4 linked regions of the Rattus norvegicus genome follow. The protein of the gene in region 3 binds, or shares a complex with, the protein of the main gene of each other region. Links are inferred from orthologs where the notes say so. Each region holds a gene or a part of one and is shown on either strand. Other genes may lie near its edges. The genes, in order: Crh, Ucn, Crhr1 and Gnas.

Region 1 (7,572 bases), on a different chromosome or scaffold from region 3:
CACACCTGGCTTACATTCTTTACTCTGTGTTTCAGAGTCTTCCATGCTCTTTATAAAAAGGATGTATGGCTGTGACACCAGAAGAAACTGTTAAAAATGACAATACTGTTCCCATGGAAGCAGTAAGGTATTTATGTTTTTGAAATCCTTTCTCTTTCATTTTATGAAGATGGCTATCAAATCTATCTAAAGTTCAGTGACCACAATAATTAAGCAACGTGAATGTGAGGAAAGATGACAGACTGATTGCAACAACTTTTTTAGTTAGCAAACTTGAAGAGTGTATTTGCTTGCCTGGATTTTGCCAATAGAAGTATATAAAAGTGCAGAAGAAGCCGGCGCTAAGGAGCTACCTGCTTTCTGTCTGTCTGTCTGTCTGTCTGTCTGTCTGTCTGTCTCTCTCTCTCTCTCTCTCTCTCTCTCTCTCTCTCTCTGTGTGTGTATGTGTGTGTGTGTGTGTACCTGTGTGCATGTGTACCTGTCTGCCTGTGTACATGTGTGCATGTGTACCTGTGTGCATGTGTGCCTGTGTGTGTCTGTGGAACTACAGCTTGAACACAAGGCAAGTGTTCTGCACTTAGTCCCATACACAACTCTATTGTTTTTCTTTTATTTAATTAATTTGTACTCTATATTATTTAACTCACTCCTATGTTACATTGCTTTTGAAAAAGTATTTTGAACAGAAATTAATCACTATTTGGTGCCCATATTTCTTGGACATATTTCCAGGATCTAAAAGCATTTGTGCTGGTCCTTTTATGACTCCTTAAAATAAGTGAGGTGGTATATCTTGGTGTGAGATTTATAAGCCTAGATTTCTTAGTGTCTTGTATAGAACATTGTTACTTCTCCAATCACACATCTATATCATAATTTCAAGAATCCCTACTCTCTGTATTCTATAAAAAGGTAAAAAGTAATGCTTTTATTTTGTGTGATTTTTATTTGTGTATTTTTGCATTTTCATTTTTAGGTGCATCAGTGCACATCACATCATAATCACAAGATTCAGCTAACATGAAAATAGCAGCGTGCACACACTGACATTTAAAGGCAAGGGGCACTGCACAAAGACTTTCTGTATTCTCATGCCTTGGCAATAAACCGGAGAAAAGGCACATCAAGAACTGATGTGTATGCTGTGCCACCTAAATTCAACTCATCTAGGCTCATTCATGTACCTTTGCTGGGAAGGGAAGCACAAAGGATACTGCAGTGCTGTGTCAATAGTAAGGCTGGCAGTCAAAAGAACTGGGTTCTTGTTCTGACTTTATCACTAGCCAAGTAACTTCAGATTACCACCAGTTTTCATTTAAACCAAGTGACTATTTCTAAGACAAGTATTCTCTGATTTACTTCAGTAAATTATGATACTTCACAATTTATATTCCAGTGAAACCCCATGGCAACAGCAAGGGAGAGACAGTAAAAATGCATCCTCAGACGGCCCCATGGGAAGGGATTTTAAGGGTCAGGAGGTTAGCAAGGGACTCACACTTGCTACTTCTTCTCCCAAGGAACCTCCCTGACTTCTGGACTGCTCCCAGGCACTTCCCTTTCTTACTTCCTCTTCAGGACTCATTGGCTGCTTTCCCTCTCCAGACTGGCATTTAAGCTGAACTTTATGAATGGGCAGAGAAGGGGTTAGAATTAAAGTTAAAACAAAACAGAAACCAACCAACAAAAAACCCAGGCACTGAGATGAATTTCAACTTCTAAAATGCCCACAGTAACAATAATGAAGGTTCTGGAGGCCTCCTTATCGATGCAAACCCCCTTTAATCAGTATTTATTAACAAATGACATTTTCCCAGTGGACAGGGAAAATGTTCTTGTCTTCTTGTCTATCAAAAATGCATCCCACAGTGCATTATTCATCTATGAGCTGACTTTTCTGCAAACTCCCAGTGTTTCCCCCCACTTTCCTTTTGTTTCTAGAAGAGTTGTCGATTAATACAGGTCCCAAACAGGGGTTGAAGTCTGCATTGCATTATCTGTTACTTTAGAGACAGAGAAAATGGCAGACATAACCAGAAACAGGGAACAGGAAAATTTGGATAAACAGTAGTGGTGGTTATGAGGCAACTGAAATGAATCACAGACACTAGAGTTTGTAACAGCATCTTGAATTGCAGGATTAAAGGTAACTGCTTCCCACTTAGACATAATATCCATTTAACTCAAAATTGAGAGTGGATTTGTAGACATGGCATTGTATTCTATAATAGTGTCAGAGAGCAATTACTAAAGACACTGTGGTACACATTTGAATTTGGAGAAAGGAACAGAACACATAATAAATAACTTGAGTGCCTTGCTATACATACTGTCATGATTTAATAGTATATGGAGGTAAAATGAAAGATTCTCATTTACAGGCTCAAGGACTGATTTTTTTCAGGTTATCAAGCAGCTTATGTTTGTTCAACACAAGAATTAGAACAATGCCTCCCTCCTTGGGTTTGCACTGTAGACTGGGAATAGACTTTTTAATGCACACAGCTCACCGTGGTCTTCTTAGGAGAGCAGAAAAGTCCTGATTAACTTTAGATTCTGAGAGGAGACCCATAGGAGACCCGAGATTCACTTGAACCTGAGGTTTTTGTTAAGAGTCTTTGTTTACAGCCTTCATTATTAGAATAGCTCTTTTCTCATGAAGAAAAACACGCAGCTGGTTTCAAAAACCTTATTGGTCTTGTCTTCAGATCCACAATTCTTTTATCTGCTCTTGGGAAGACTAAGGAGCTAAAAGCTAAGACTTGGTTGTCTCTGTCCCCTAGTTCTTCATTCTCCTCCAGGCAGAAAGATGGCAGGCCATAGTAAAGACATATTTCAGATACTAAGATCTTTCCTGAGAGTACAACATGACAGAAAAGTTAGGTGGGAGTGGTGAGACACCAGGAAATGTCCAAATCCACCCCCTTAATGGTGGCTACCTTCTTGGCAGCTCTGCACTCCCCACCTCTTTCTCTCTCCCACTCTGCCTCTTTTCTGGTCTGTATCTGGCCTATCATAGTAAGAGGTCAGTATGTTTTCCACACTTGGATAATCTCATTCAAGAATTTTTGTCAATGGACAAGTCATAAGAAGCCCTTCCATTTTAGGGCTCGTTGACGTCACCAAGGAGGCGATAAATATCTGTTGATATAATTGGATGTGAGATTCAGTGTTGAAATAGCAGAACCCTGTCCCTCGCTCCTTGGCAGGGCCCTATTATTTATGCAGGAGCAGAGGCAGCACGCAATCGAGCTGTCAAGAGAGCGTCAGCTTATTAGGCAAATGCTGCGTGCTTTCTGAAGAGGGTCGACGTTATAAAATCTCACTCCGGGCTCTGGTGTGGAGAAACTCAGAGCCCAAGTACGTTGAGAAACTGAAGAGAAAGGGGAAAGGCAAAGAAAAGGAGAAGAGAAAGGAGAAGAGGAAGAAAACCTGCAGGAGGCATCCTGAGAGAGGTACCTCGCAGAACAACAGTGCGGGCTCACCTGCCAAGGGAGGAGAAGGTAGGCAGCGCCTAGATGGGCGCCACCAACTTTGTGCTGCCTGAGCTGCTGTGGTGCGCCCCGGAGCCAGCTGCCCAAGTGCTGGAATGCCTGTGCCTATGCATGTATGTGTGTCGCTAACTGTGCCTTAAAATTCCGATGACAGCCGCGATGTGGCAAAAAGCTAAGTTAGACGGCGGCTGCGGCTGCTCATCTTTATGCACTCAATCCAATCTGCCACTCATTGCTCATAGTCTGTGTAAAGAATGGCTCCCTTATTGTGTCCCATACCCGCAAGCAAAGGGAGCAAGGGCAGGAATGGAGACAGAGAGGAGGAAATGATGTCCGAAAGGGGCGATTAGAGCGGGCGAATAGCTTAAACCTGTGGCACTTCTCCGGGCTCAAGAAAGTCAGTTTGGGGAAGACTTAGGAAGAGGAGTCAGGGGGTGTCCCTTTTAGGTCTCCAAGGAAGGGTCACCTGCAGGCTCGCACCATATGAGCTTTGCAGGTACATAGCTTCAGCACCGCGGACAGCGTCACAGAAGCCCAGAGCCTGTCTTGTCTGTGTCTGTCGGATAGGAAGTCCCGCTACACCTTCCAGCTGAGCTAAACTCTAACCAGTCTTACCTCTCTCCCCCACCTTCTCTTTCCTCCACCTTGTCTCTCCCTCTACCCCAACCTCGGCTGCAGAGAGCGCCCCTAACATGCGGCTGCGGCTGCTGGTGTCCGCGGGCATGCTGCTGGTGGCTCTGTCGCCCTGTCTGCCTTGCAGGGCCCTGCTGAGCAGGGGATCCGTCTCTGGAGCGCCGCGGGCCCCGCAGCCGTTGAATTTCTTGCAACCGGAGCAGCCCCAGCAACCTCAGCCGATTCTGATCCGCATGGGTGAAGAATACTTCCTCCGCCTGGGGAACCTCAACAGAAGTCCCGCTGCTCGGCTGTCCCCCAACTCCACGCCCCTCACCGCGGGTCGCGGCAGCCGCCCCTCGCACGACCAGGCTGCGGCTAACTTTTTCCGCGTGTTGCTGCAGCAGCTGCAGATGCCTCAGCGCCCGCTCGACAGCAGCACGGAGCTGGCGGAACGCGGCGCCGAGGATGCCCTCGGTGGCCACCAGGGGGCGCTGGAGAGGGAGAGGCGGTCCGAGGAGCCGCCCATCTCTCTGGATCTCACCTTCCACCTTCTGAGGGAAGTCTTGGAAATGGCCAGGGCAGAGCAGTTAGCTCAGCAAGCTCACAGCAACAGGAAACTGATGGAGATTATCGGGAAATGAAATGTTGCGCTTGGCCAAAACGATTCTGCATTTAGCACACAAGTAAAAATAAAAAATTTAAAACACAGTATTCTGTACCATACTGCAGCTCTGATATCATTTGTTTATTTTTATATAGCTTGAAGCATAGAAGATGTACAGGGAGAGAGCCTATATACCCCTTAATTAGCATGCACAAAGTGTGTTTCTTTGTAGTAACAAAACAGCGTTATTTGTATTGCCCACGCTTAGTTTCTATGTGCAAATAAGTGTCTTTATAGCGATATCTTAAAGAAAATGTGGATCCAAGGAGGAAACCTTTAAAAAAGCAGATGGAAGTCACCCAGTTGTTTTTATTTGGAGACACAGTGTAAGAGAATTCATTCTTGAGGGGTGGCTAGGACAAAATGTGTAAGCTCTTTGAATCAACTTTTTCTTGTAAATGTTTCAATAATAAAACATCTTTCTGATCCTTGGTCAATTTGGTTGTGTCAGAGAACGTTGACTATATTTTTAATAAAATCTGAAAGGTTGTTGTGGCTTTATTTTTCCTCTTCAGAAATGGACCCAGCACAAGAAAATAAAAACAATACAACAATCCCCTCCCCAAAAAACAAACCCTACATTTTATTTTCTCCTAAAAATATGAACGTTGTCACATAGCTTACACTAGCCCTGCAATTTGTCCTGGGCTTTCCTCTGTATCTCAGATTTCCCTTCTGAGATTGAATTAAATAATTTTAGAGGTTCCTCCCACCCTTAAAACTTGATAATTTTACAACTAGAAGATCAGTCACAGTGGAAATAGCTTGCAAGCCTAATTAGTTGAGGACCAGGAAGTGTGGGCATCCTGGCAAATGGGTGGACGTCAGAGGACAACTGATGGATGTCAGAGGACTCCTACCATGTGAGTCCTAAGAATTGAACTTGGTTCTTCAGGTCCAAAGGCAAGTGGTTGTACCCACTGTACTATCTCACCAGCCTTAGTTAGGAGAAACTTAATAATGCAAACATTTCAAATAAATAAACATATTTGTGGTAAAAGGGCACTTGGGAAATTTTTTCTTAAAAAAGAATAATAGCTCCACAAATACCTTTCATATTTCTCTCTATCCCAGTCCTAATAACTGCAACTTGTAGGACTGTTATTTGCTTCTAAAATTAAACAGCGTATCTAATTAGTCGGACAATATATTTGCTTTAGTAGTTTGGTTACAGCTATAAAATTTTTAGTTCCATAATTAATACTTTAAAATTAATTTGTATGTATGAAGATGGCACTTCTCTTGAGGCCCTTGAAATGTGCTTGATTAATGGCTTAATAATAAAACATGAATCACTGAATAAATTGCTAGGAGACTAAAGTTCTTAAAAACATTTATTTAGGAGTTCATTTAAAGTAACGTTACACGTATGTGATGAAAGCATGGAGAGAGAGAAGGGAGAGAGGGGAGAGAGAGGAGAGGGAGAGGGAGAGAGAAAGCGCACAGGGGGAGACTGTGTGTATATTTAAATACATGCAGTTGTTCCACAGTTTGCTGAATTGCTGCTATGGCAGACACATAAGAAAGTAGACAGTTCCTCCCAGAAAGTCTTCAATTAAAGTGGCTGTTACATGGATATAAGATTATGAGATATGTAAATAGTATTAGAAAAATGTCTAAAGAATTGCCCTAGACCTTTGGCCTTCTGGACTATGGAAGTGTGGCCACATGTAAAGAAAACTTCTGGCTGTACATCCTGTGACATCTGTAGGGAAGAGGAACCTCTATAGCATTCTACATAGCTTTGGTCAGTGACCAATCTCCATATTTTGATAAATGGGTCAGTTCTGAACTGACACTGAATGTCACCTACCACCTGCAATGCTAAGGAGAAAAGCAAAAGGCACGAGTGTCCGAAAATAACAAGAAGCCCAGAGAGAGGAGAGTGTTCTGCCAGTTTGTAACCGCTCGCCACTCACAGCTGATGTGTACACGCACCACACCTACACACCCTTCAGAATGTTTCTCACCCAATAAAAGCATAAGATCAAGTTTCTTCATCAGAGTATTTTCTGTAATTTTTGTTCTGAGCATAATCATTTTCTCAACAAGTTAGATAAGTCATCTGGAATTAAAGGGTGTTGTTCTTGTTTTGTTTTGGTTTTAGAAATCCTGTCCAGAGGTCCCCTTCGTATGCATCACGGTGAATTTCCACCAGGTTTCCCTATGTGCTTCTCAGCCAGGCAGACAGGGGGCAGCAAGGAGAATAAATATCATTCATTTAGGGAATTCAACCAGGAGAAGGAGAAGACGTGGCGAGCTGGCTCAGAATCAGCCCCACCCCCACTCCCCAAGGCTGCAGCCTGTCCCTGGGGAGAAGAGGCCTCAAATCCAATCTGCAAAAGAAGAAAATGTGGATGAGAGGAAGGAGAGAGTAGACCTTTGGAGAATTGGTCCAGTCACTGTTCTACTGAGGAGAGAGGTTGATAATCATAATTACAGGAAGCATAATTATTATTAGGGACAGAAAGCAAGCTCAGGTCATCTTAGTTATGGTCAAGAGCCATTAAAGTGAGTCACACTCATGATTCAAAAGAAAAAGCAATAGCACATGCCATGGAAGGGAGCTCTAGTGGGGAGGGGCCAGGTTTCCCTGCTTCATTTTCCCAAATTAGGTTGTTCATGATCTACTGATGTGACAGTCTCATTCATACACGCAGATATCTAGGCTTACAAAAATCTGCAAAACTATTAAAATCCTGCTAATCCTCATAGCTCAGTGACAGAGTGCTTTCCCAGCACATCTTAGGCCTGAGTTTCATCCCCAATGTCTTATAAGACAGAGAAAGGTGAGGGAGA
Region 2 (6,809 bases), on a different chromosome or scaffold from region 3:
GCGTGGTACTTGGCTCCCAGTGAAGCAGCCTTGAAATTCTTTGACACCTTTGTCATCCCTGTTAACTGAAAACATCTGAGCTGGGTTCTGTGTCCCTAACTCAAGGTGTGACCCTAGCCAGATCGCCTTCCTTCTTGGCTTTCTTAAGTGGGGAGAGGACTAAAATGCCCTGCTCTCGCAGCTCTGGGGGTGCTCAGGAGAGACCTTCTTCATTCAGATTTGCTGTGGTCTTTCAGGACAACAGCCGCAGACAGAAACAACTGTTAAACCAGAAGTTCGAGACCCTGTGCGCGGTTTTGGAGGAGCGCAAGGGCGAGTTGCTTCAAGCGCTGGCTCGGGTGCAAGAGGAGAAGCTGCAGCGCGTGCGTAGCCTCATCCGCCAGTACGGAGACCACTTGGAGGCCTCCTCTAAGCTGGTGGAGTCCGCCATCCAGTCCATGGAGGAGCCGCAGATGGCTCTCTACCTCCAGGTGGGCGGAGAGGGAGGGCGGAGGGCCTTCAGGGTGTCGGGACTCAGGGTTTGGGGAGCGGGGGGGTCAAGTCTTCCCTCCAGAATTTCCACCACCTGGGAAAAGTCACTTTTCCGAGTCGCGCTTCTCTCTCTCTCTCTCTCTCTCTCTCTCTCTCTCTCTCTCTCTCTCTCTCTCTCTCTCTCTCTCCTTCTTAATGAATCGGGATATAAATCCCCTCCTACCCCGCAAGAATTCGTGAGAGTCGGAAATAGGGCTTTGCCAGGGCTGGCCCAGTCCTCACCTTCGTCCTCTTTTTCTCCCCTGCAGCAGGCCAAGGAGCTGATCAACAAGTGAGTGGACTGCTCGGTGGGAAAGGAAGGGACCCTGCGGATTCTTTCCTTCTGACCTGGGAGGGGCTTGAGGGAGAGGAGGAGTCCCCCTGCTGAGCCCTTGTGGCCATCATAGGGTCGGGGCAATGTCGAAGGTGGAGCTGGCTGGACGGCCGGAGCCAGGCTATGAGAGCATGGAGCAATTCTCTGTGATCGTGGAGCACGTGGCGGAAATGTTGCGGACCATCGACTTCCAGCCGGGTGAGGGAGCCGAGGGAGGGACTGTTTAGACGTGCTGAAGGGGTATGAGGTGGGCGCTATGGCCAGGAGAGCAGGGGCTCCACATCACCAGGCCTGCCCTTCCACCTAGGCGCCTCTGGGGATGAAGAGGATGACGAGGTGACTTTGGACGGGGAAGAGGGCAACACAGGGCTGGAGGAGGAGCGGCTGGACGGGCCAGAAGGTGAGAGTTGGACGAAGGTTTAGGGGTGAAGAGTAGTTAGCAAGCTCGTGGCCCCTTGGGTGACTGTCTTCCCGGCGATACCAGGACATGCCACTGTACAGGAACCTCAAAGCGCACCCCCTAGCGCTCTGAAAAGCACTCCTTTTCCCACGGCTTTGGGGAGCCTGTAGGGTCCGGAGTAGTGGAAATCCCGCTGCCTGGGAGCGTTGGCTGTCGGGAGGGCCTTGTTCGTTTGGAGCATCCACCCACCGAGCATTCCCCCCTCCCCCGGTTCAGGTTTGCACTGATCCGACTCTGATCCAGAGCGCACGCCCGGGAGCCAAGGGATGCTGAGGATCTGCGCAGAGACCATCGCGCTACCCATCTCGGCCTCCACCCCCAGGGATGGTTCTCAATAAAGAACTCATGTGTCCCACGTCCCACGTCCTCAGCTCCTTTCACTGCCCACTCCTAGGCTCAACTATAGAAGCAACCTCGCCATTACTCTGCCCTTTCTCAACCCCAGACCATCTGAAGGGGTGGAGGTGAAATAGTCCGAAGTGGCACCTCCTTTACATCAGAGGTGGCCTCCTGAGCCGGAGACCCTGAAAGGTGTCTGGGTTGGGGTCTCAGACCACCGAGTTCCGGGATTTGGCGGGTTGGGGGAAGGGCCATAGGAACTTTACTGATAGGCTGCCTCTCCCATCCCACTACGCATGCTTGTCTCTCCTACCGGCCTGGAGAGCCCCACTCTCCCAAAAGTTCTTACCCTACTGTGGTTGCCGGTGCCCCCTCACCCCTGTAACAGAAGATAGAGGCTAAGCTCTTGGGCAGTTTTATTAAAAAATATCCAGTCAGAGTGTTCAGGGTAACTCTGGGCGGCGCTGCAACGCGGGACTGAGCCAGCTCCGGTTGTGCGCGCTCCAGCCCCGGGGTAGGTGGGGGAAAGGGTCAAGGCTTTCTGGACCCCATACGGGGCCGATCACTTGCCCACCGAATCGAATATGATGCGGTTCTGCTCTGCGCGCTCGCGCTGGCTCTGTGTCCGAGCTAGCTCTAGCAGGGTCCGCAGCAGGTGGAAGGTGAGGTCGATGGACAACGGCGGGTCGTCTCGTCGTTGCCGCTCGCCTGCAGGCTCAGATCCCGCGCGGCGCGGGAAGCGCTCCGCTAACAGCAAGAGGAGTGCGCGGACACCTCCGCCCTGATTCCGCACTCCGGGGTTCCATCGCAGATTCGGATCCTGGACCACATTCGCCGCCGCAGCCGCTGGGCTCCACTGGCTGCTCTCCGGGCGCAGCTGAACCAGAAGCAGCAACGCTACCAGGAGCGTAGCGCGTCCCCTCTGCCTCATGGTGCCGCCTGCCCTGGACACACAGGGGCAGCATAGGGTGAGATGCACTTGGAGCAGTCACAGGTGACACGAGCCCCTTCGCGCACACGCCCAATGTCCCCGCTAGGACCCTCCAGCTGTTGCCTGGTGTCCACAACCTGCCCACCAGCCCAAGGCGCTGTGCCACTCCAGTTCCACCCCTCCCTCCTTTCCCTCCGGGCAGGTCAAAGTGGGTGGGCTTAGTGCAGAGTCCTGGCGGTAAGGGAGTCTGGATCGTTTGCTCCAAGCCACTCACAGGTTATCGGAGTGTCTATCCAGTGCAAGATGGAGCTCCAGTCTCTGTCCCCGGGGACGGGTTGAAGACGCCTTGGGGAGCACGGGGTCGGTCCCGGGACCGCCGCCAGCCTTATATAGCACCGGGACAGCTCCGACTGACGTCAGCGAAGAACTGAACTGATTGTAGAAACAGTGACACTGGCAGCTTCGAGTCCAGTAGCTTCGAGCCCCCAGAGGGGCACGTATCCTGACTTTGTGTCCCTGGAGCTATCTTTGGAAGCACCCTGGCTGTAGAGGGAGAGGCTGACGGAGCCTTAAAGATAGATCTTTCCGGATGCAGACAGAGTCCTTCCCACCACCAGCCTCTCCACAATAGGATAGTCAGGGGTTGGTTTCTCTGCTCAAGTACGGATTGGTAGGATTGTGGAGCTGTCCGTGGTTCTGAATTTCTTCACGGCTAAGAATCTGGGCAGAAGTTCTGGGGAGAACCCTGGGCTGCCAAGACACAGTTCCCTAGGTCGGCTACTGGGTCCCCAGATTGAGATCAGGAATGCTGTGCTGGAAGGGGCTCAGACAACACAGTCCCACCCAAAGCCCCTCCCACCCTAATAGGTCCCTCCCATTCTACTGACCATTGTGGTACAGCAGTAGAAACTAAAATCTACAGGTGTCAGAATGGCATAAAAGGGCGTTCGGCTTTCAGAACTTAACGCACCTCCTGAGTTTGCCAAAGTAAACTTCCTAGGACCCACAGAAATAGTACTTCATACCTTTATCTTCTAGTTAGGATTACTAGGTGAGGAACTAGGGGTGGGGGTACTGGTGCACTCCTTTAATCCCAGCACCGGGGAGACAGAGGCAGGCAGAACTGTGAGTTTGTGGCCAAACTGGTCTACCGACCCGAGCTAATTCCAAGACAGTCAAGATTACACAAAGAAACCCAGTTTTGAACACCCCCCCCCCACACACACACAAGAAATCACTAGTTAGGAAGTGAGCAAGTTCCTGCTCTCACATCAACTCGAGGTGTGGTCAGGTCTCTCACTTCCAAAATCATTGGTGTCTGTAAATGAAAAGCCTCCACTTTAGTTACAGACATGTCAGCCACTGCAGATTCCAGATAATAATGTATCTATTTCTGTGTGTCTATAAAGTCCCAGAGGGGGGTCTGGAAGGGCACTAGGACCTAGAAACATTACGAAACATTTTCTTTTCTTCTTTTTTTTTCTTTTCTTTTCTTTTTTTTCAGAGCTGGGGACCGAACCCAGGGCCTTGCGCTTGCTAGGTAAGCGCTCTACCACTGAGCTAACTCCCCAACCCCACGAAACATTTTCTAGTCTAGGGACGTTGCTCAGTGTTAGAGCACTTGACTAGTATGCCCAAGGCTGGGTTCAAGCCTCAACACTGGACAGAAAGTTGTATCTATAGAGGGTGGGGACGTGTGCTAGCTATTGGGACATAGGTGTAAGGGTGGCAAGGTCATATTACTCTACAAGTATCTGTGCGGAATATACTACGGTCACGTTGCATAATGACCCTTTAGTCAGTGATGGCAGCACACGCAGTTTTGGCTTCATATAATCACAGCGGAGCTGAAATATCCCGCCCACACAGCAGCATTAGTTATGTCTTAGTCTGGTGAATTTTTTCACGTGTCTTTGATGATGCTGGTGGAAACACACTGGCAGTAATATGAACGTATAGCTTGTACAACTATGTATGGTACATATACCTTAGTGATAAACAATAGTTACTGATTCATGAATTTGCTATATTTATTATTTTAAAATGTTCTACATATGAAAAAAAGCCCCCTGTAAAACCGTACAGCATGTCAGGCTGACTGAGAAGCCATGTAAGCAACTGTTACCATCTGTTTAAGTATATACTACTATGTGTACACAGTGACAAAATTGCTAAAGGACACAATTCTTTTTTTAAAAAGATTTATTTATGTATATGAATAGTCGCTGTCTTCAGACACACCAGAAGAGGTCATTGGATCCCATTACAGATGGTTGTGAAACACTGTGTGGCTGCTGGGAATTGAACTCAGGACCTCTGGAAGAACAGTCAGTGCTCTTAACCTCTGAGCCATTTCTCTAGCTCAGGACACAATTCTTCTAGTGTGTCCCCATCAGTTAAGTGCCAGAGTGACAGCAATACTATAAAGGTCTTAGTGATTTCAAAAGCAGTTACGTTTTTAGAGTGGTCGCCCTACTCTGATCAGCAACCTCGAATCACGGACACACTCCCTCCTTGTAAAGATTTCAGGGGCTGGGGATTTAGCTCAGTGGTAGAGCGCTTACCTAGGAAGCGCAAGGCCCTGGGTTCGGTCCCCAGCTCCGAAAAAAAGAACCCAAAAAAAAAAAAGATTTCATTGTGTGCTTAATTACGAATGTGTCTATGTGTTGATATGTACATGTGAGTGCAGGTGCTTCAGAGGCCAGAAGAGGACATCAGATCTCCTGGAGCTTGAGACACGGAGGTGTGAGCTACCCGATGTGGGTGTTTGGAACCAAACTTAGGTCTCCTATAGAGCAGTCAGTCCATGCTCTAACGGCTGAGCCACCTCTCCAGTCCTGTTGTGCTCAGTTGGAAGAAGCTGTCCAAGCATTAGAGGGCCACGGAGCAGCAGTGCAAGGTGCGAACCACGGAACAGGGCAGGCTTAGAGCTGATGTGCCTTCCAGGACAGGTAGGAGTTCCAGACAACAGCAACGCACTGGACAACAGCCAACCTAAGGGACAGGAATGCCACTGTGAAGAAGAGAAGGGGCAGGCTAGGAGAGCAATGGGAAGGTCTTGGGAAGTCCCAGGTTTGGGCTGCCTTCCTCTGAGCCGCTGTAGGGACTGTAGGTTCAGACCAGAAGACAACCAGTCCAGCTCTGCTCTATCTCCGAGTTCCTGTCAGGCGAAGGCCTCAGAGCTTAAATAACCTCCACAGCTCACTCCCTTTACTTATTAACTTGTCTCTGTGTGCACGTGTTACATGTAAGTCAGGGGACGGCTCTAGGGAGCTGGTTCTCTCCTTCCTCCATGTGGGTTCCAAGGAATGGACTCGGGGCATCAGGTCTGGCAGCAAGGGCTCTTAGCCACTGAGTCATATCACTGGTCCACCGGCAGCTCAGTCAACAAATGACTCGTCTATCTAGACCTTTCCAAATATATCTGTATACCTTCTATCAGCCAAGATTTCAATTCTAAAAATAATGCCTTGCCTCCGTCATCCATATATATATATATATATATATATATATATACACACATATATATATATATATATCCTCATTTATATGTGTATATATAAAATTCATATACATACATACATACATACATACATAGATAATACATAAAGAGAGAGACCTCTTGTGGTCACTATGTCACCAAAGACAGTCTTGAACACTTGAACTCCCGATCCTCCCACCTTTGACTCTCTGATGTTATGGTAAAAAGTGGGCACCCTCGGGGCTGGGGATTTAGCTCAGTGGTAGAGCGCTTGCCTAGGAAGCGCAAGGCCCCGGGTTCGGTGAAAAAAGAACCAAAAAAGAAAAAGTGGGCACCCTCACACCTGGTCTTTTCAGAAGATCCAAGCCTGGTTCCCAACACCCCTGTGTGGCAGATCACAATGCTCTGTAACTGCAGTTCTAGGGAATCCCATGTCATCTTTTGGTGTCTGTGCCCCTACTTGCACATGCAGAGAGCCACACACATTAAAAAAAAACACAAAAATTTGTTTGATTTGAGACAAGGTCTCGCTCTATAGCCTTGGCTAGCCTGGAAACTTGCTCTGTAGATCAGGCTAGCCTCAAACGCATAGAGATTCAACTATCTTTACTTCTGAGTGCTGGGACTTAAGGCATAGGCCGCCCAGAAAAATTTAAATCTTAAAAAAAACAATTGGGGCTGGGGATTTAGCTCAGTGGTAGAGCGCTTACCTAGGAAGCGCAAGGCCCTGGGTTCGGTCCCCAGCTCCGAAAAA
Region 3 (7,580 bases):
TTGTTCAGTGTGTACGTGTCAATGTGTCTCTGCGTGATGTTCTTGGCCTTACCCAGACATCCCCTGTCATACAGACTACTTGATGCCTGCCTCTTCCTGTGGCCATCTATCCTAGAGATTGTTCCAAGGCAGTTTAGAGCGAGTCTCTTCATTCTCCTCAGACTTGCATACTATCCACGGTCCAGATGTGTCATAACTTAGCGGGCTGGTCTTTGTTCTGTCTTTGGTTTTCACAGACTGCCTCCTCACAAAGAACCTTCTATAAATGATGCTTGGCAGGTACATGGATATCTGGGCTCCTTCCTCACAGCCTCTCTACTCTCAGTCCCCCATCTAAGGAGGGTGGGAACGTACTCTTTGCTGACACTCGGGTTTCATTCCGAGCACTCACATGGTGATTCACAACCGTCTGTGACTGCAGTTCCAGGAGAGTCAACACCCTCCTCTGACCTCTGCAGGCACCAGGCACATACTTGGTGTACATACCTTCATGCAAGCAAAACGCTCAGGCACATAAAGTAAAACAAATAAATCTAAACATTTTTTTAAAACGTGAACTCCCGATCCTTCAACCTCTGCCCCCAGAGATCTGGGCTCAGACACGTGGCAGTGCCCCCCTCCCACATCATATTATGGATTGCTAGGAATTGAACGCAAAGCTTCATGCGAGGCAGGCAAGCATTGTGTCAACTGAGCCACACCCCCAGCCTGTAGGTTGTTTTTGGCTTTTGGGTCTGGAAGCTGAGACATCCAAGGCTGAAGGGCTAGCATCTTGCAAAGGCCTTGCTGCTGTGTCATCTCATGACAGAAGGCAAAGAAACCGTGAGGGAAAGCACATTCCTTTAGAACCAACCAGATCCTGCGGGGAAGCCCCCACTTGGCCGAGAGGCTCCACATCCAGCAGCTCCGTACTGGGTACCATGTTTCCAGCCTTTTAACTTCAGGGACACATTCATATCATAGCAGTGGCCATGTCTCGGGGTGTCTGTCACTCCTCGGTGACACTGCTGTCCCTGCAGCTGTCTTGGTGCTCTGGTCTTTAGATTGCATCGGGCCCACATGGCTTGACCCAGCTGTATGTCTGCCCCTGTGGTTTGGGACTTCGCTCTTCAATTCCAGCCTTCGTGATTCACACTCTCAATGAAGAAGCCCCTCTACCAAGATCTTAGACACAGCAGAGACCTCCCCTCCCCAACCCCCAATCCCTGCTTGTCTCCCTCAAAACCCCTATGGGTGGAAGGAGAAGAGAATCCTAAAAGCCAGGCCGCTCCAGGTTCTGATAGCTGCACAGCTTGGCTCCACTGTGTGGCCTTTCCAACTAGAAAACAAGGCTGCGGGGACCAGCCTCAGGGACTTCACTGAGGACGATGGTGTGGGACCCAGCACACAGTAGGTCCTCTCAAAACTATCCAGCTTCACTCTGACAAACAGAGGAGCCAGAGTAGAGGCTTGGGTAGAAGAGGCCAGCAAGCCCCCCGCCCCGCCACCTCCTCCTAGACCCAAAGAGAAAGCCGGGGCCATAGCAGCATCAGCTCCACAGATGCTGTTATTACCCAGGGGCTTCTCAGCATGGATTTTAATTTTAATAAAGGGAAACCCTGTGTTCATTCCAGACAGGCTTTGCGTTGTGCATGTCTGTCTGGAGCCTCTGGTAGGATCCTGGCATCTGCTGCAGGCCCTTAGAGACCCTCAGTATTTGCAGGTCAGAATGGACCCCCCCCCCCGCACGCCATTATGGGGTCCCAGGGCTCCAGCAGCATGAGCTGCTAATCTGATGTCCTACTTTCTTCTGGCCAGGGAAGGGTGAATGGGAGTTTGCACTGGGAATCTGCTATTCACTGAGCGCTGGGTCCTGGCTGGTCCCCTAAGGACTAAGGACCCGTAGGTAGCATCAATACCTTGCCAAGCTTCACCTGTAGGTAAGAGATGCTTCAAGCTGATCTTAGGAATCTTGAGCAAGTCAGCATACCCCTCTGGGTTTCCTTTTCTGCAAAGGAAGTTACAAGTGCTTTTCCCAGCTTTTCCCTCAGGGCCGCTTTGAAGCTTGAAGACGAGGAAAAAAACTCTTAGTGTGAAGGCTTTCGCACTTGTGCCAGTAGCTCCTGTCACGTATTCATAATTGAATAATTAAGAAAGTTAAGGGCTGGGGAGATGGCTCAGTGGGTAAATGCGCTCGCTACCACGTGTGACCTGGTGGAAGGAGAGACCTGGCTTGTGCAAGTTGTCCCTAACCTCCACGCACACGCTGTGACACACATGACTATACTCAAGCTATACAAGTACACACATTGAATAAACAAATGGAATTTAGATTTTTTTTAATTAGGAATGACTGAAGATGTAGTTCACAGTAAGCAGAGCACTTGCCCGGCCTGCTCAAGACCCCAAGCTCAATTCAGCAAGAGGGGAGTTAGCATAAGGGGGAGAGGCATGGGTGGAAGGAAGAACTGGAGAGACACCGTTCTCTTGGGGCAGCCCCTGGGCCTGGAATGAGGGAAAGCCTTTGAGGATAAGGAATTGGTGCTTTCTTCTTTCGGGGTATGTGTGTGGTACATGCAAGTGTTCATATATGCGTGAGGAGAACACACATCCATGTATGCCTGTGGAGCTCAGAGGTGGAGGTAGGGTGTTTTCTTTACTGGTTTTCCACCTCATTTGTTGAGACTGGGATCTCTTCACTAAGCCTGAAGCTGTCAGTGTCGCGGGGCTGGCAGACCAATGATCCAGGGACCCACCTGTCTCTGGTCCTCCGTGTTGAAGTTACAAGTCTCCATAACCACACCCAGCTTTCATGAGGGTGTCAGGGATCCAAGTCCCAGTCCTCATTGAGCCAGATTCGGGTGTGACCAGGAAGATGGGAACTCAGTTTAGAAGCGAATAAGAAATAAAATTCTGGAGGGCTGGGGTCTCTGCACCCACCCGAGCCTGTGCAGCCAGGACAGAGCGAGACATGGGCATGTGTGGGCACTGAGTGTTTGTGTAAGTGTGCACAGTGTTAATGTGACACAGAGCGTCGTGTGACCTAGATACAGCCTCAGTTCCTATCTGTCTGCAACACGTGACAGACCAGATTCAGAGACTGGCCCAAGTGGATGGTGTTACTCCAAGGTGGCACGTGAGTGGCTCACAGGGTCACTCTGGGGCGGGGCAAACCCTATTACTGTTGCCCACTCTTCCCCAGCACCCCTCCCTGGTACTGTTCAGTACAATGGGTACAGAGGTGCGGCTGTGCAGGACGCTCACCTCTGCCCTCTCTCCTCCCTCAGAAGAAGAGCAAAGTACACTACCATGTTGCAGTCATCATCAACTACCTGGGTCACTGCATCTCCCTGGTAGCCCTCCTGGTGGCCTTTGTCCTCTTCTTGCGGCTCAGGTGAGAAGGCATGGGCACTGCCACCCGCCACCCCCTGGGACCTTGAGCGTACTGCGGGGCAGTGGGTAAGACCCAGGCCTAGCAGTGGGGTGGGGGCACTGACAAAGGGTCACCTATCTCTCATTTGGATAGAAGAGTATCACCTACGTGAAGCTCGGGTCTCTTAGGACCTCTGCAGAGTCATGCCTGTCCTTTCTCCCAGCAGCTGCTGAGGGAAGTAGGGTAGGGAGAAACGAGCCCAGGCTCACCTGCTGTTAGCAATGCCTAAAGCTGGTCTGTATCCATCTTGGGAGACCCCTGGAGGTGAGGGCTTTATCGAGTGGCATCCCTCTCACAAGTTCAAGTGAGCTGTGGCCAGAGTGACAGGAAAAAGTGTCTAGTGGGTAGCACCAGAAGCTGAAAGTCGAGACGGATTTTGCTGTTGGAGGCTTCTCCTGTTTGTAAGCACTCTGCTTTTCAATCCTGGGGTGTGAGGAATGAGAGGGGATCCTGACCACACCAAGCTTTTCCAGGAGCAGATGTCTTGGCCGCCCAAGATAGGAAGGGACCAGTGCAGTTCAGGCCAGCCCGTCAGTCCCACTCACGCCAAGCTTCAGTCTCTCCGTTGTTGTGTCTGGGCTGGAGAGATGCTCACACTTGCCCTCATCCTCTCTCTCCTCCTGTTGCTATGGCCACCTGCCCTCTCCTGCTGCCCCAGGAGCATCCGGTGCCTGAGAAACATCATCCACTGGAACCTCATCTCGGCTTTCATCCTACGCAACGCCACGTGGTTTGTGGTCCAGCTCACCGTGAGCCCCGAGGTGCACCAGAGCAATGTGGTACGTCTCAGCTAGAGAAGCAGAAAAGGCAAAGTCTAGGTCAGAGGGCGACCCTGTAGAAGGGCCAGGCCCGGGTACCCACAGAACAAGAATAGGACCCCAAGGAGCCTGAGGGTTGGACACTGGGGTCTCTGGACACCCCCAAGCTCATTGTCATCTCTGGTTGGGGCAGGCCTGGTGTAGGTTGGTGACAGCCGCCTACAATTACTTCCATGTAACCAACTTCTTCTGGATGTTCGGTGAGGGCTGCTACCTGCACACAGCCATTGTGCTCACGTACTCCACCGACCGTCTGCGCAAGTGGATGTTCGTCTGCATTGGCTGGGGTGAGCTGGGCCAGCCCCGCCCCTGCCTCTCCTCACTGAGGATATGGGCCAGCTGGGTCAGGAGGGTGGGATGCGAACTCTTCTTAGGGGTGAGAGTAGGGGGATTGCCAGGAAGCGTCAGAACTCAACTCCCACGAATCCCTGCTCTACTGTGGGTCCCTGGCTGACCTGGGGTCCTCCAATGACATCTGCTTTCTCCCTCAGGTGTACCTTTCCCCATCATTGTGGCTTGGGCCATTGGGAAGCTGCACTACGACAATGAAAAGTAAGCTACTTTGTGAGGTCAGAGCCTAGCTCTATAGTACACTCCCTAGGGGACTTGGGCCATTGTCTCTCCTGTAAAGACAGTGGCTTCTGCGTCCACAAAGGCAGAGCAGAGCACTGGCCTCAATTCTAGGATCTTTTCCAGTGCTCTGCTGAGAAGGTGGAGCTAGACAGCCAGGGTCCCAGCCTGTTACCTGTCTGGAGTTTTAAGGAGAGCAATACCAAAAGCCACACAGCCCAGGTGCTGGATTGTGCCATCACTGAGTGGCTATGTGTGACCTTGGAGCTCATTGTCATGGCAGGCCTCAGTTTCCTCATCCATGAAATGGGCATCTTCATTTTATTTATCACCTCTAGGCTGTAGTGGGGATGAAGGGCATCAATGCATACTAAGCACATAGACTAGTTAGTACCTGCCAGCCAGTAGGTGCTACATACATTTTTATTAACATCAAGGTGTGTTTCGTAGTAAGATTCTATTGGTTAAAAAAAAAAAACAAAACTAGTCCAGGTAGTTTTAAAGACTCTTCCAGCTGGATCTGAATCAGCCTTGCACATGGGGGACTTCCCAGCCGTCCCTCACAAGGATCTTAGGGGAAGATCTAGAAAGTTCTATACCTCAGGGCTCCATGCTATTGGACTGTCATGGCCTGGGTAGCAAGGTGGTTACAGTGTAAAGCGAAGATTTAGAACTTCACAGAAAGACCGAGAAGGTGGGAGGGGCCGGGCAAGACAGTCTGGGTTACACATAAGCATCCCCAGCTCCCAGCTGGCTGACTGGAGGGTTCACATTGACAGACTCTCCCCTCCCCTCACTGGGCTGCACGAGAAGCCTGGGAAAATATCATCCACATTTGTGAAGGTTGTTCTTTCTACCTCAGGCTGGGTTTTTTATGCAGCAGCAGGGTAGGCGGCAGACTACAGGGAGCCAGTTCACTGCCGTGGGTGCGCAGTATCCTGGGGGCGGGGGGTGGTATCCTCTTGGGAATTCCTGGATGGGGGAAGCCTGTGCTTTGAAGCATATGAAAAATTGAGTACAAGAGACGGGGCAGAAAGAACAGGAGGGAGAGATGGGAGAAGAAAAGAGATGGGCAGAGAAGGAAAACCCAGAAACGAGCCTGCTCCCACCCTGGAGCGGGAAGGACGCTATAAGGTTAGGCGTGAGCAGCCCTGTAGCCCCCTCTGGTGGATAAATGCAGACAGTGAAGCAGAAGGAGCGGGGAAGATGAACTGAGAGGCTCCGGGTCCCAGTCTGGAGTCCGTAAACAGTGGTGTGTAACCTGAATGGTGTTTAAAAATCAAAAACAAACAAACAAGAAAACCTTGACATTTCAGTCAGGAGGTCACATATGCTAACTTCCCATTGTGGCTTACAGCATCCATTGCAAGTCCTTATACCCATCCATAGGAACGTGGGACTTCTGATGTACCCAGTCCCAACCTACTCCTGAGGCTAGCTCAGGGGGATTGTAAGGCAGGCCTACATCTTGCAATGAGTGTTAGCTGTGAAACCTTCTCTGCATGGGCTGCGCTCCAACGGAGTCCCGAAGAAGCTGCGGTTGGTATCCACTTGTATGACAGGGCAGTGAGCGTGTCTAACCACAACTACTGCCAGAGTGCCTCTGTGGACACTGGAGAACACAGAGCTGTGTCGGGCTTCAGGCTGTTTCTGGATGCTGTTTGGAGAATTTTTTCCCTGGGATACACAAAGAAGCAGCTACCCCTTCGTTAGAGGGACTCAACCACAAACTCAGGTGCAGTTCACCAAAGTCCAGCTGAGGGAGCCAATGAATGACTGTGAATGCTTACAGGGCCAAGATAGGGAATTATTTACAGGGATATAAGAGACCTTAAAGTAACTGCACTGCTAGAAAGTCTCCCCACAGTATGGATAAAGGCTTCCCTATTATATGAATGGCGTCAACCTCGATATAGTTAACCTCCAGTTAACCCTACAAACCCAAGCACCTCCTAAGACCATGGGAGCGTGTGCAGTGGGCCCCTAGAGGTGTAAACAGACATGGCTGGAATCTCAGGATTCCAATAGACCCTCCCACCTTTCTATTGGAGAAATGTCAAGATCAGTCCCATCTTGTGGGGTCCTTACAAGCAGCCACAACTGCACAGCTGGGGATGGTAGCCTTTTTTCTCATGGGCCCTCCCTCCACAGAGCTCGCTCCAGCTTCAAAACCTACAGCAGAGGGTACCACCCACTTTGCAGTCAGGATCACGGAGGCACTGAAGGAGAACCAGTTGGCTTGGCTTTCTTGGAAGTTGGGGTGCCCTTTCCTGACCACTGGCAATGATCCTGCCCTATGTTCAAGCACTATACCACTGAAAGGACTCTGTTGACCCCTCCCTTCCCTTTCTCCCTTGGCCCTCTAGGTGCTGGTTTGGCAAACGTCCTGGGGTATACACTGACTACATCTACCAGGGCCCCATGATCCTGGTCCTGCTGGTAAGAGCTTTGGGAGGTGACAGGAGACAGGCCACTGTGGGGAGGGACAATCTGTCTACCATGGACAGAAGGGGCCACCTAGGTGGGCCCAGAGAAGGCACCTAGGCCAGGAGTTTGTAGGTCTTAATAAGAGGAGAGAGGGAGGAGAGAGAAGGGGAGAGAGCGCGTTCGAATGAGTGTGTGCAGCAGGAATACCAAGAGCAGAGCTGAGGGAGCTGAGGGCTGGTCCTATCCACCCCACCCACCTCCATTTCCTGCATATGTCCCTGCTCCCATCCCTGCTCCCCATCCCCACCTCTGCAACCCATCCCCACTCCTGCAACCCACCCCCACCCCTGTTA
Region 4 (8,243 bases), on a different chromosome or scaffold from region 3:
TGTTCTGTTCTTTCACAAGGAGACTGGCATGCTCTGGATGTTTCTCCCTGTCAGAGAAGCATGATATAAGGAATAACGTGGAACAAAGGATCCTTACAGATCATGACAATGTCTGAACAAAGAGAACCTGAACCCATATTTTTGATGAATGGTGCTTTGGGGATGGGTGTGAGAGGCCTGGAAAGCCCACGAGATCCGCGTGGCGGTCTCCTAGGGTCTCCAACCTCAGCGTCTACTGACCTTTCACCTTGTGCAGGGTTCAGCATCCCTGGGAAATGAACTCTGTCCATCTTGTACTGCTCGTCTGCATCGGAGCAGTATGCTCTCTCTCTCCATAGGCCTGGCTCACCACCTCCAGCCCCTGGAAAAGCCTCTCTTCGCGGTGCCTCGGCGATAGCCCTCTCTGTGAAGTGGGTTAGCCTACCGCCATTATGAGCCCAAGAGATGGTCCATGGGTGTCCCTGACCTTCCCACCTTGCCTTGGCAAGTTAGGGGATCAAAAAGCTTGATCCCCCAAGGAACTTACGGCGACCGTGGCCTTCTAGGCCTGACCGCCATACGCCCGCCCGCCAACTGCTTCCAACCAACCCAGCAAGCACAACCTCTTTGGGCGTTCCAACGCGGCGCCCCCTTTTGGACCTCCCACCCATATCCGGTTTCCGGTCTGAAGCCCCCTGCTCATTCGCCAGGAATCCTTGATTGGCGTGACCCCAGCCCAATAGCTGACCTGTCGCTGGGGTCGGAGGGGAGTGGGTTAGTGGTTGAGACCCAGTTGGCCCATTCCGTGTGTGTTCAAACCGTTTCGCCATTTTGAGTGGGGGTAGTTGGCCAAACTTTGGACCAAAGTTCAAAGTGTCCGGCATGCAGTGTGTTGAGCCGTAGAGCTGAGGTGACACGCCTTCGGGAGATCGCAGGCATTCTCTAAGGCTTCACATTGTCTGCTTTCCTGTACTCAGGGTGACCACGTGGACGCTGTTGGCAAGGGGCTGTAGTGTGCTGAGCCTGCAGTGGGAAGAGGGACATGTTAGACTTCTGAGAATTAAATCATGCCGCGGCACACCCGCATGTGTCTTTCAATATAGCCATCTGCCTGGTGCATAATTGCCGCAGCCCGCCTCATGTACCACTCCATACTCTTTCCTCAGGGTCCTGCAGGTCAGACCTGCCTACTGCCTAGCTGTACTGCAACAAAAGACAATGCCTCTCGCCATCGCCATTACCTACTGGCAAAATGACGGCGGTGTGCGCGTGCCGCGTTTGTATGCTCTGAGAGCGGCACAACAAAAGACCAAAACCCGAAAGGCAAACAAACAAAAAAACCCTCACCCCTGTCCTGAGTTCCTCTGCAGATCCCAGACCTAAAAGCATTTTGTGATTATTCGCTGAGCCCACCGGGCAACGGGACTATTTATCTCCTGCAGCTCTGAGCCCACCGCGGCACCACAAGGGGCGCGCAGCCGCGGGCTTTGTGGCCGCGCTTAATATCGTTTGGGTGGGCTGTTGCAGTTCAAAGTACAGCAAATGCTTTATGGTGCTCACAACAGAGAAGGGGATGGAAGGGGTCTGGAGAAGGGCTATCTATATAGAGGAACCGGACACGGAATCGGCAGCTGGCACTGGTGGCTGGAAGACGGGAGTCCCTGCAGCCGTTGCCACCACAGCACGGTTGGTTGGTGGGTTAAGGGCATAATCGGGTTTTCTAGTCTTTAAGACCACCCTAAATGGGCCATCAACCACACCCCAAATCTCCTTTGGCCCTTACCCAGAACACAGAAGTGCGAGCCCTGAGCTAGGGGGTCTTTCGGTAAGCCCCGGGTCCCCTCCCCTGTCTGCACGAACGCGGCAACCATGAGTACCGCCTAAGGGGGCTTTGCTTGATTTTCCGCAGTGCACTACCGAGACCTTTATTCATACTGCGTCACCACCCACATAAACAGAGCGAGCCCTGACTGCGTCACATTAGGCCACTCTAGGTGTAATGGGGATGGGGGACATTGACAGTATTTGCCGAGCCATCCCCGACAAACAGCAAACGTAAACATCAAAAAGAGAAAAAAAAACTACCCGGAGCATTTAAATAACAAATTGCGTGTTTACATTCCGCACTTCCTCACCCCCCCTCCCCTTCCGGTGGGCTCACGACCACCTGTCGCATTTTATAGTGCTTGCCTCTACCCCCTTTCCTTGTATCCTAAAGCCTCCTTTTCCTGGCTTGGAGATGAATATGGATAATTGGCCTGAGTGTAGGGTCTTTAGATAAAAGATTCGCCGCATACTAGGGTAATCTGGGGTGATAAAGCCCTCCTGCAGTCCCTCCTCCCGTCCAGAAGAATCAGATGGGGAGGGAGGCTTTCAGCTCCTGTACTCTAACAGGCCAATGCCCACGTCTTGCGTCACGTGTCCCAGCAACGCAAGAGAGCTCGCGCTCTCTCTGGCTAGAGAAAAAGCGAGGAAGAGAGACTCGGAATCAGTCCGGGAGAGAAGAGGACGGAGCTGAACGTCCCTACGAGGCCTCCGCTCATCCGCCCCCTTACCCAAAGTCGGGAGCAGCTGGCACCCGGAGCCAGCTCCCAGAGCCGGCTCAGCACTGAGACCGGCGTCCTCTGGCGGCAGAGAAAGAGTTCTACTTACGATTTTCGAGACGAATCGGCACGCTCTTGGATGCCAAGAAGGCGGAGCTAAAGTAGACCAAAGTAAGAAGAGAGCACAAAAAAGTTCCTAAAGTTGCTGGCCGACCACAGCCCGAAGGGGTAAAGGTAACTTGGAAGGTGCCAGACCTCGCCAGCAAGAGATGACTCGCTTCAGCCATGGCCATGGGTTCTAGTCCCGGATCACCGATCCTTACGAAGGTTGGAAACTGAGGCTGGAGAACTTTCCAGCCAAAACTTGAATTTTTTTAAAAAATATATTTTTTTTCACCCTAGTTTGGCTGGGTGCTCCGTCTTACGGGGCCCCAAATTTATTTTGAAAGCCGCCACCGTGTTATGGGCATGCTCAACTGCCTCCACGGCAATAATATGTCAGGACAACACGATATCCCCCCTGAAGTCGGGGACCAGCCCGAGCAAGAACCTTTGGAAGCCCAAGGGGCCGCTGCCCCCGGTGCTGGGGTTGGCCCAGCCGAAGAAATGGAGACCGAACCGTCTAACAATGAGCCCATCCCCGACGAGACTGACAGTGAGGTCTGTGGACCCCCTGAAGACTCCAAATCTGACATCCAGAGCCCCAGTCAGGCCTTCGAGGAAGTCCAAGTGGGCGGAGACTACAGCCCACCTCCAGAGGAAGCCATGCCATTCGAGATCCAACAGCCCAGCCTGGGAGATTTCTGGCCCACCCTGGAGCAGCCTGGACCATCTGGGACCCCATCAGGCATCAAAGCCTTCAACCCAGCGATTTTGGAGCCCGGGACCCCCACTGGTGCACACCCAGGCCTGGGAGCCTATAGCCCCCCACCAGAAGAAGCTATGCCATTTGAGTTCAATGAGCCTGCCCAGGAAGACCGTTGCCAGCCTCCCTTGCAAGTCCCAGACCTTGCGCCAGGGGGTCCGGAAGCATGGGTCTCCAGAGCTCTTCCCGCGGAGCCCGGGAACCTCGGATTTGAAAACACTGGCTTCCGAGAAGACTACAGCCCTCCACCTGAAGAATCTGTGCCATTTCAGCTCGATGGAGAAGAATTCGGGGGCGATAGCCCACCCCCAGGACTCCCGCGAGTCACGCCACAAATCGGCATTGGCGGCGAGTTCCCGACAGTCGCGGTCCCGAGTACGCTCTGCCTCGCTCCCGCCGCGAACGCGCCTCCCCTCTGGGTCCAGGGCGCCATTGGCAGACCATTCCGCGAGGCTGTCAGATCTCCTAACTTCGCATACGACATTTCCCCAATGGAGATCACCAGACCCCTGCTTGAGATTGGCAGAGCCTCCACTGGGGTCGACGACGACACCGCTGTCAATATGGACAGCCCCCCAATCGCAAGTGATGGCCCGCCCATCGAAGTCTCGGGAGCCCCAGTTAAGAGCGAGCACGCAAAGAGACCCCCACTTGAGCGACAAGCAGCCGAGACAGGAAACAGCCCTATCAGCAGCACCACTGCAGAGGAGGCAAAAGTCCCCTCCCTCGAGCGAGGAGAAGGATCCCCCACCCAACCTGAAACAGTGCATATCAAGCCAGCTCCTGTTGCGGAGTCCGGAACGGACTCTTCCAAAGCCGATCCGGACTCAGCTACACACGCAGTTCTTCAGATCGGTCCTGAGGAAGTCGGAGGAGTCCCAACCATGCCCACCGATCTTCCGCCTGCTTCTGAAGATGCGGGCCCAGATGTCCGGGCAGAACCAGACGGAGGGACAGCCCCAGCCACCCCTGCCGAGTCCGAAGACAACAGAGAACCAGCCGCCGCCGCCGCCGCCGAGCCAGCCGCCGAGCCAGCCGCTGAGCCAGCCGCCGAGCCAGCCGCCGAGCCAGCCGCCGAGCCAGCTGCCGAGGCAGTCCCTGACACCGAAGCCGAGTCTGCCTCCGGGGCAGTCCCCGACACCCAAGAGGAGCCCGCAGCCGCGGCAGCCTCTGCCACGCCGGCGGAGCCTGCCGCCCGGGCAGCCCCCGTCACCCCTACGGAGCCCGCTACCCGGGCTGTCCCTTCTGCCAGAGCCCATCCAGCCGCCGGGGCTGTCCCTGGAGCCTCAGCGATGTCAGCCGCTGCTAGGGCAGCCGCCGCTAGAGCAGCCTATGCAGGTCCTCTGGTCTGGGGAGCCAGGTCACTCTCGGCTACTCCAGCCGCTCGGGCATCCCTCCCTGCCCGCGCAGCAGCTGCCGCCCGAGCAGCCTCTGCTGCCCGCGCAGTCGCTGCCGGCCGGTCAGCCTCTGCCGCCCCAAGCAGGGCCCATCTTAGACCCCCCAGCCCGGAGATCCAGGTTGCTGACCCGCCTACTCCGCGGCCTGCTCCGCGGCCGAGTGCCTGGCCTGACAAATACGAACGTGGCCGAAGCTGCTGCAGGTATGAGGCTGCGTCCGGCATCTGCGAGATCGAGTCCTCCAGCGATGAGTCGGAAGAAGGGGCCACTGGCTGCTTCCAGTGGCTTCTGCGGCGAAACCGCCGCCCTGGCCAGCCCCGGAGCCACACAGTCGGGAGCAACCCGGTCCGCAACTTCTTCGCCCGAGCCTTCGGAAGCTGCTTCGGTCTATCTGAGTGTACCCGATCACGATCCCTCAGCCCCGGGAAGGCCAAGGATCCTATGGAAGAGAGGCGCAAACAGATGCGCAAAGAAGCCATGGAGATGCGAGAGCAGAAGCGCGCAGATAAGAAACGCAGCAAGCTCATCGACAAGCAACTGGAGGAGGAGAAGATGGACTACATGTGTACACACCGCCTGCTGCTTCTAGGTAATGCCGCAGCTTCTGCCCCTGGGCAGTAGGGCCACCCCGGGCACCCGGGGAGGGGGTGGTAGGGCCTTCCGGTGGGGCTTGGGCCTTGCCCGTGGGAGGAGGGGTCTGGATACCCTGTTAGAAGTTCCAGGGAGGGACCCCAACTCTGCCCTGGGGTGGGAAAGGGGCCTTTTGGAGTGTTCGGGTGGCCGAACTGTATGCCCTCCAGGGAGAAAAGTGGTGCCGAGCGACACTGAGGGTCGTTACCGGCCGGAGGCCAGCGCCAGCGCCAGCGATCCTAGGCTGGACAGGCGGGGGCGTGAGGTGAGCCCAGAACTGCTGGGGTGGGCCCTTCGGGGCTCCCCCGGCTCGATTGTTCGTGACCGCGGTGGGCTAGGGCCATCGGGGTGCGCGCCCCCGCCTCGCCTAGCACGGCTGCTTCGACTCAGACAGCTTGTTGTTGGTGTGTGTTGGTGTCCATTTTCTGTGTTCGCCTGTGCATGACATGCTCAGTGTGTCCCAGTTCCCACCCCAGACACTTTCAATGTACCCGCCGATTTTATATTTGTACTCTGAAATAGGTTGCCTTGTGATTTGCGCCATGGCGCGACCAAAACTTTCCGTGTTGGTACACTCTGTAATAACCTGTGTGCAGACTCTCTGCAGCGAGCAGAGGGAAAACGCGCAGGCAACGGTGGCGTGGCATCCTGGGTAATCTGCTGGGCCGATGGCTGGGGGGAGTGGGGCCCGCCGCCGCGGGCCTCCATGACCTTTTTCCCCGGTATGTCTCTCTTTTTCCCTTTGCGTTAAGCATTTCCTCAGTTCTCAATACATACGTCAAACCCTCCCGCCTTAATGGTTGAAAAAAACAGACACTTAGGTATCTGGGGCTTTGGGGTTGTTCAAAACATGTGTATTTTGTATTCTGTGCACACGCACACACATACTGGGTCCACCTGTGGGGGGTGGGGAATAGAGCAGGAGAAAAGGGGGGGAGCATGCTTTAGCCCCGTTGGCAAAGCCACATTCAAAACACACAGGGGTGGGCGTGGCTGGGCTTAAATAAACACACATATATATTACATATAATATATACATATAAAAAAACAATTTTCTTCTTAGTGAAGAGCCCGAGGTAAGGCAATCACTTATATTTTTAAAATTTGTGGCAGGAGGGACCTAGTTTAAGAGGGTTGGAAGTTGTATATTGGGAGGTACAATGTTGCCTTTGTATTTTAATTGCAATTAAAATAAACAAAATAAATAATCAGAGTGCATACTGAGCGTGTGGACAATGCCTGGGAAGCTCGTAATCTCACTTGTGAAGTCTGTATATGTTTGCTTGTGAATCTTTTTTTCAAGCAGCTATAGCTTGGACTAAAGGTAAGATCTTCTATAAGTCAGTTTGTGATGAAAAAAATAAAGATTTTTAGGATGAAGATTAAAGAAATGTTATGCCAGCCAGATAGGTGCCTTTTGAGGCCCTCATCTTCCACCGCCCTCTGTACGACCCCCTCCCCAGCTCTCCATGTTCCTCCCTTCACAGACACCCCTCCCCTCATCCTGCAGCCAGAGCCCCTCCCACATCAGACTTCTCATCTCCAACCTGAGGCATTCATTCTTCTCGCCAGATTAATCAGAACAGCAATTAACAATGGTCTCTATCTGTGGCTTAAATAAAATCTTCATGAGTGGCTCTCCACAATTAATTTATTTTATTCTTTAAAACCTGTCAAGGGATCTCAGGATCACAGTGTCTAAGGCTGTATGCTCCATTTGTCTGTGCAACATTTGGTAATCTGTGACGATGTTTATTAAAGACCTTGGCATGGCTGTGCTGCTGCGATGTCCCCTCCCACAAATCATGATTTTAGATGGAATGGTCACTTTATTTATGCCTACCTGGGGAAAACGTTGGTATCATTGACTCCAGCACATGGAAGAAGGGAGGTTGCTATGAATTTCAAATGTCCCTGTTACGTAAAAAGCACAGTACCCCACATGAGAAGGCTTCGATCTCACTGCAGGTTCATTTCTGTACTCTGAGAAGCTGACCTGAGAGTTGGCAGTGGGTGGGGACACAGATGTCTGCAGGTAGAAGACCCAAGTGACTGTGCATATCTGAATCCCAGTTAGTTAGTCAAGTGGACACACGCCCCTTATATTCTGGAGTCTCAGCCGCCTTGCTTGAGAAACAAAGATTTCTCAGGAAATTTTCATTTAAGTGTCCTATAGTAACAGGACTTGGGGTCTTCTGTCCAGCCCCCACCTCAATACAGGGAGAAGGTGCTTGGAAGTTACGCACTCTGCTACTGCAGTTCTCTGCACCAAACCTCAGGGCTGGGATCAAGCTTCCTTCAGAATAGCGGATGTTTCCCTTGTATCCCTTAGATTTTTTTTCCTAGAGGGGATAATTAAACCCAAACAGAAGCACATTTTTAGGGGGTACCATGGCACTGGCCTGCCTGCCCTTTATGGAACAGAGCCACTGTGTTCTTTTAGACGCATTCTGGTCCAGAAGACAGGCTGCTCAGCCTTAGCCTAGGCCTCGCCTGAGTCTCTAAGATGGCCATTGGTGCCTGCCGAGTGAGACTGCAGCAGCCCCTGTCTGTCAAAGCAGGCTGCAGTTTCCCACGAGGCTGCTTTCATTTCGATCAAGCAGCAAGACAGGGATTGTATCTGGGTCCCTGTTATTGATTGGGGAGGGGCGAAGTAGAAGGGAAAGGATTTACTCACAGTTACGAGACTTTTTCACTAGCTACCTAGCTTCATTACGTTAAACAAGATATCTATGCTGTCTGACCCCAGAAAGTGTAGATCAAGTGGCCATCCTGTAACATGCTTCTTCATGTGTCACATCCAGATTCATCTGTTGCATTTTTTTGAAA

The links.
Region 1: the proteins of Crhr1 (region 3) and Crh are in contact, whole or in part, in a cryo-EM structure (PDB 6P9X), measured with the Homo sapiens proteins. The link is inferred for Rattus norvegicus from reciprocal best matches to the Homo sapiens genes CRHR1 and CRH. Residues at the interface, in NP_004373.2 of Homo sapiens: Lys113, Tyr116, His117, Ala119, Val120, Asn123, Trp169, Val172, Gln173, Met176, Ser177, Pro178, His181, Thr192, Tyr195, Asn196, His199, Phe203, Phe260, Gly261, Lys262, Tyr267, Tyr272, Gln273, Met276, Ile277, Leu280, Tyr327, Phe330, Phe331; in NP_000747.1 of Homo sapiens: Glu156, Pro157, Pro158, Ile159, Ser160, Leu161, Asp162, Leu163, Thr164, Phe165, His166, Leu167, Leu168, Arg169, Glu170, Leu172, Met174, Arg176.
Region 2: the proteins of Crhr1 (region 3) and Ucn are in contact, whole or in part, in a cryo-EM structure (PDB 6PB0), measured with the Homo sapiens proteins. The link is inferred for Rattus norvegicus from reciprocal best matches to the Homo sapiens genes CRHR1 and UCN. Residues at the interface, in NP_004373.2 of Homo sapiens: Leu106, Asn107, Glu109, Lys113, His117, Val120, Asn123, Trp169, Val172, Gln173, Ser177, Pro178, His181, Gln182, Thr192, Tyr195, Asn196, His199, Phe203, Phe260, Gly261, Lys262, Pro264, Tyr270, Tyr272, Gln273, Met276, Ile277, Tyr327, Phe330; in NP_003344.1 of Homo sapiens: Asn84, Pro85, Ser86, Leu87, Ser88, Ile89, Asp90, Leu91, Thr92, Phe93, His94, Leu95, Leu96, Arg97, Leu99, Leu100, Glu101, Leu102, Ala103, Arg104, Thr105, Gln106, Gln108, Arg109.
Region 4: the proteins of Crhr1 (region 3) and Gnas are in contact, whole or in part, in a cryo-EM structure (PDB 6P9X), measured with the Homo sapiens proteins. The link is inferred for Rattus norvegicus from reciprocal best matches to the Homo sapiens genes CRHR1 and GNAS. Residues at the interface, in NP_004373.2 of Homo sapiens: Arg151, His155, Tyr212, Leu213, Ala216, Ile217, Leu219, Thr220, Tyr221, Asp224, Arg227, Ile290, Ile293, Leu294, Lys297, Leu298, Ala300, Ser301, Lys311, Lys314, Ala315, Val318, Leu319, Leu322, Phe362, Tyr363, Asn367, Ser368, Glu369; in NP_000507.1 of Homo sapiens: Gln35, Arg38, Ala39, His41, Val217, Phe219, Phe376, Cys379, Arg380, Asp381, Ile383, Gln384, Arg385, His387, Leu388, Gln390, Tyr391, Glu392, Leu393, Leu394.

The regions. Positions count from the first base shown.
Region 1 is NC_086020.1:104,056,820-104,064,391, reverse strand, and holds Crh (corticoliberin precursor), read left to right. Parts: upstream 1-3,343; 5' UTR 3,344-3,503; intron 3,504-4,172; 5' UTR 4,173-4,186; coding exon 4,187-4,750; 3' UTR 4,751-5,208; downstream 5,209-7,572. Other genes in the region: Trim55 (tripartite motif-containing protein 55), read right to left, coding at 6,987-7,109. UniProt on the Homo sapiens protein: Hormone regulating the release of corticotropin from pituitary gland. Induces NLRP6 in intestinal epithelial cells, hence may influence gut microbiota profile.
Region 2 is NC_086024.1:30,954,160-30,960,968, reverse strand, and holds Ucn (urocortin precursor), read right to left. Parts: upstream 2,884-6,809; 5' UTR 2,849-2,883; intron 2,588-2,848; 5' UTR 2,575-2,587; coding exon 2,206-2,574; 3' UTR 2,053-2,205; downstream 1-2,052. Other genes in the region: Trim54 (tripartite motif-containing protein 54), read left to right, coding at 237-470, 780-802, 918-1,042, 1,152-1,244, 1,521-1,531; protein Mpv17, read right to left, coding at 5,499-5,568. UniProt on the Homo sapiens protein: Acts in vitro to stimulate the secretion of adrenocorticotropic hormone (ACTH). Binds with high affinity to CRF receptor types 1, 2-alpha, and 2-beta. Plays a role in the establishment of normal hearing thresholds.
Region 3 is NC_086028.1:89,572,315-89,579,894, forward strand, and holds part of Crhr1 (corticotropin-releasing factor receptor 1), read left to right. Parts: intron 1-3,266; coding exon 3,267-3,373; exon of another isoform or gene 3,374-3,438; intron 3,439-4,070; coding exon 4,071-4,191; intron 4,192-4,363; coding exon 4,364-4,517; intron 4,518-4,721; coding exon 4,722-4,782; intron 4,783-7,166; coding exon 7,167-7,239; intron 7,240-7,580.
Region 4 is NC_086021.1:183,500,262-183,508,504, forward strand, and holds the start of Gnas (GNAS), read left to right. Parts: upstream 1-2,981; 5' UTR 2,982-2,984; coding exon 2,985-5,373; intron 5,374-5,584; coding exon of another isoform or gene 5,585-5,859; exon of another isoform or gene 5,860-6,632; intron 6,633-8,243. UniProt on the Homo sapiens protein: Guanine nucleotide-binding proteins (G proteins) function as transducers in numerous signaling pathways controlled by G protein-coupled receptors (GPCRs).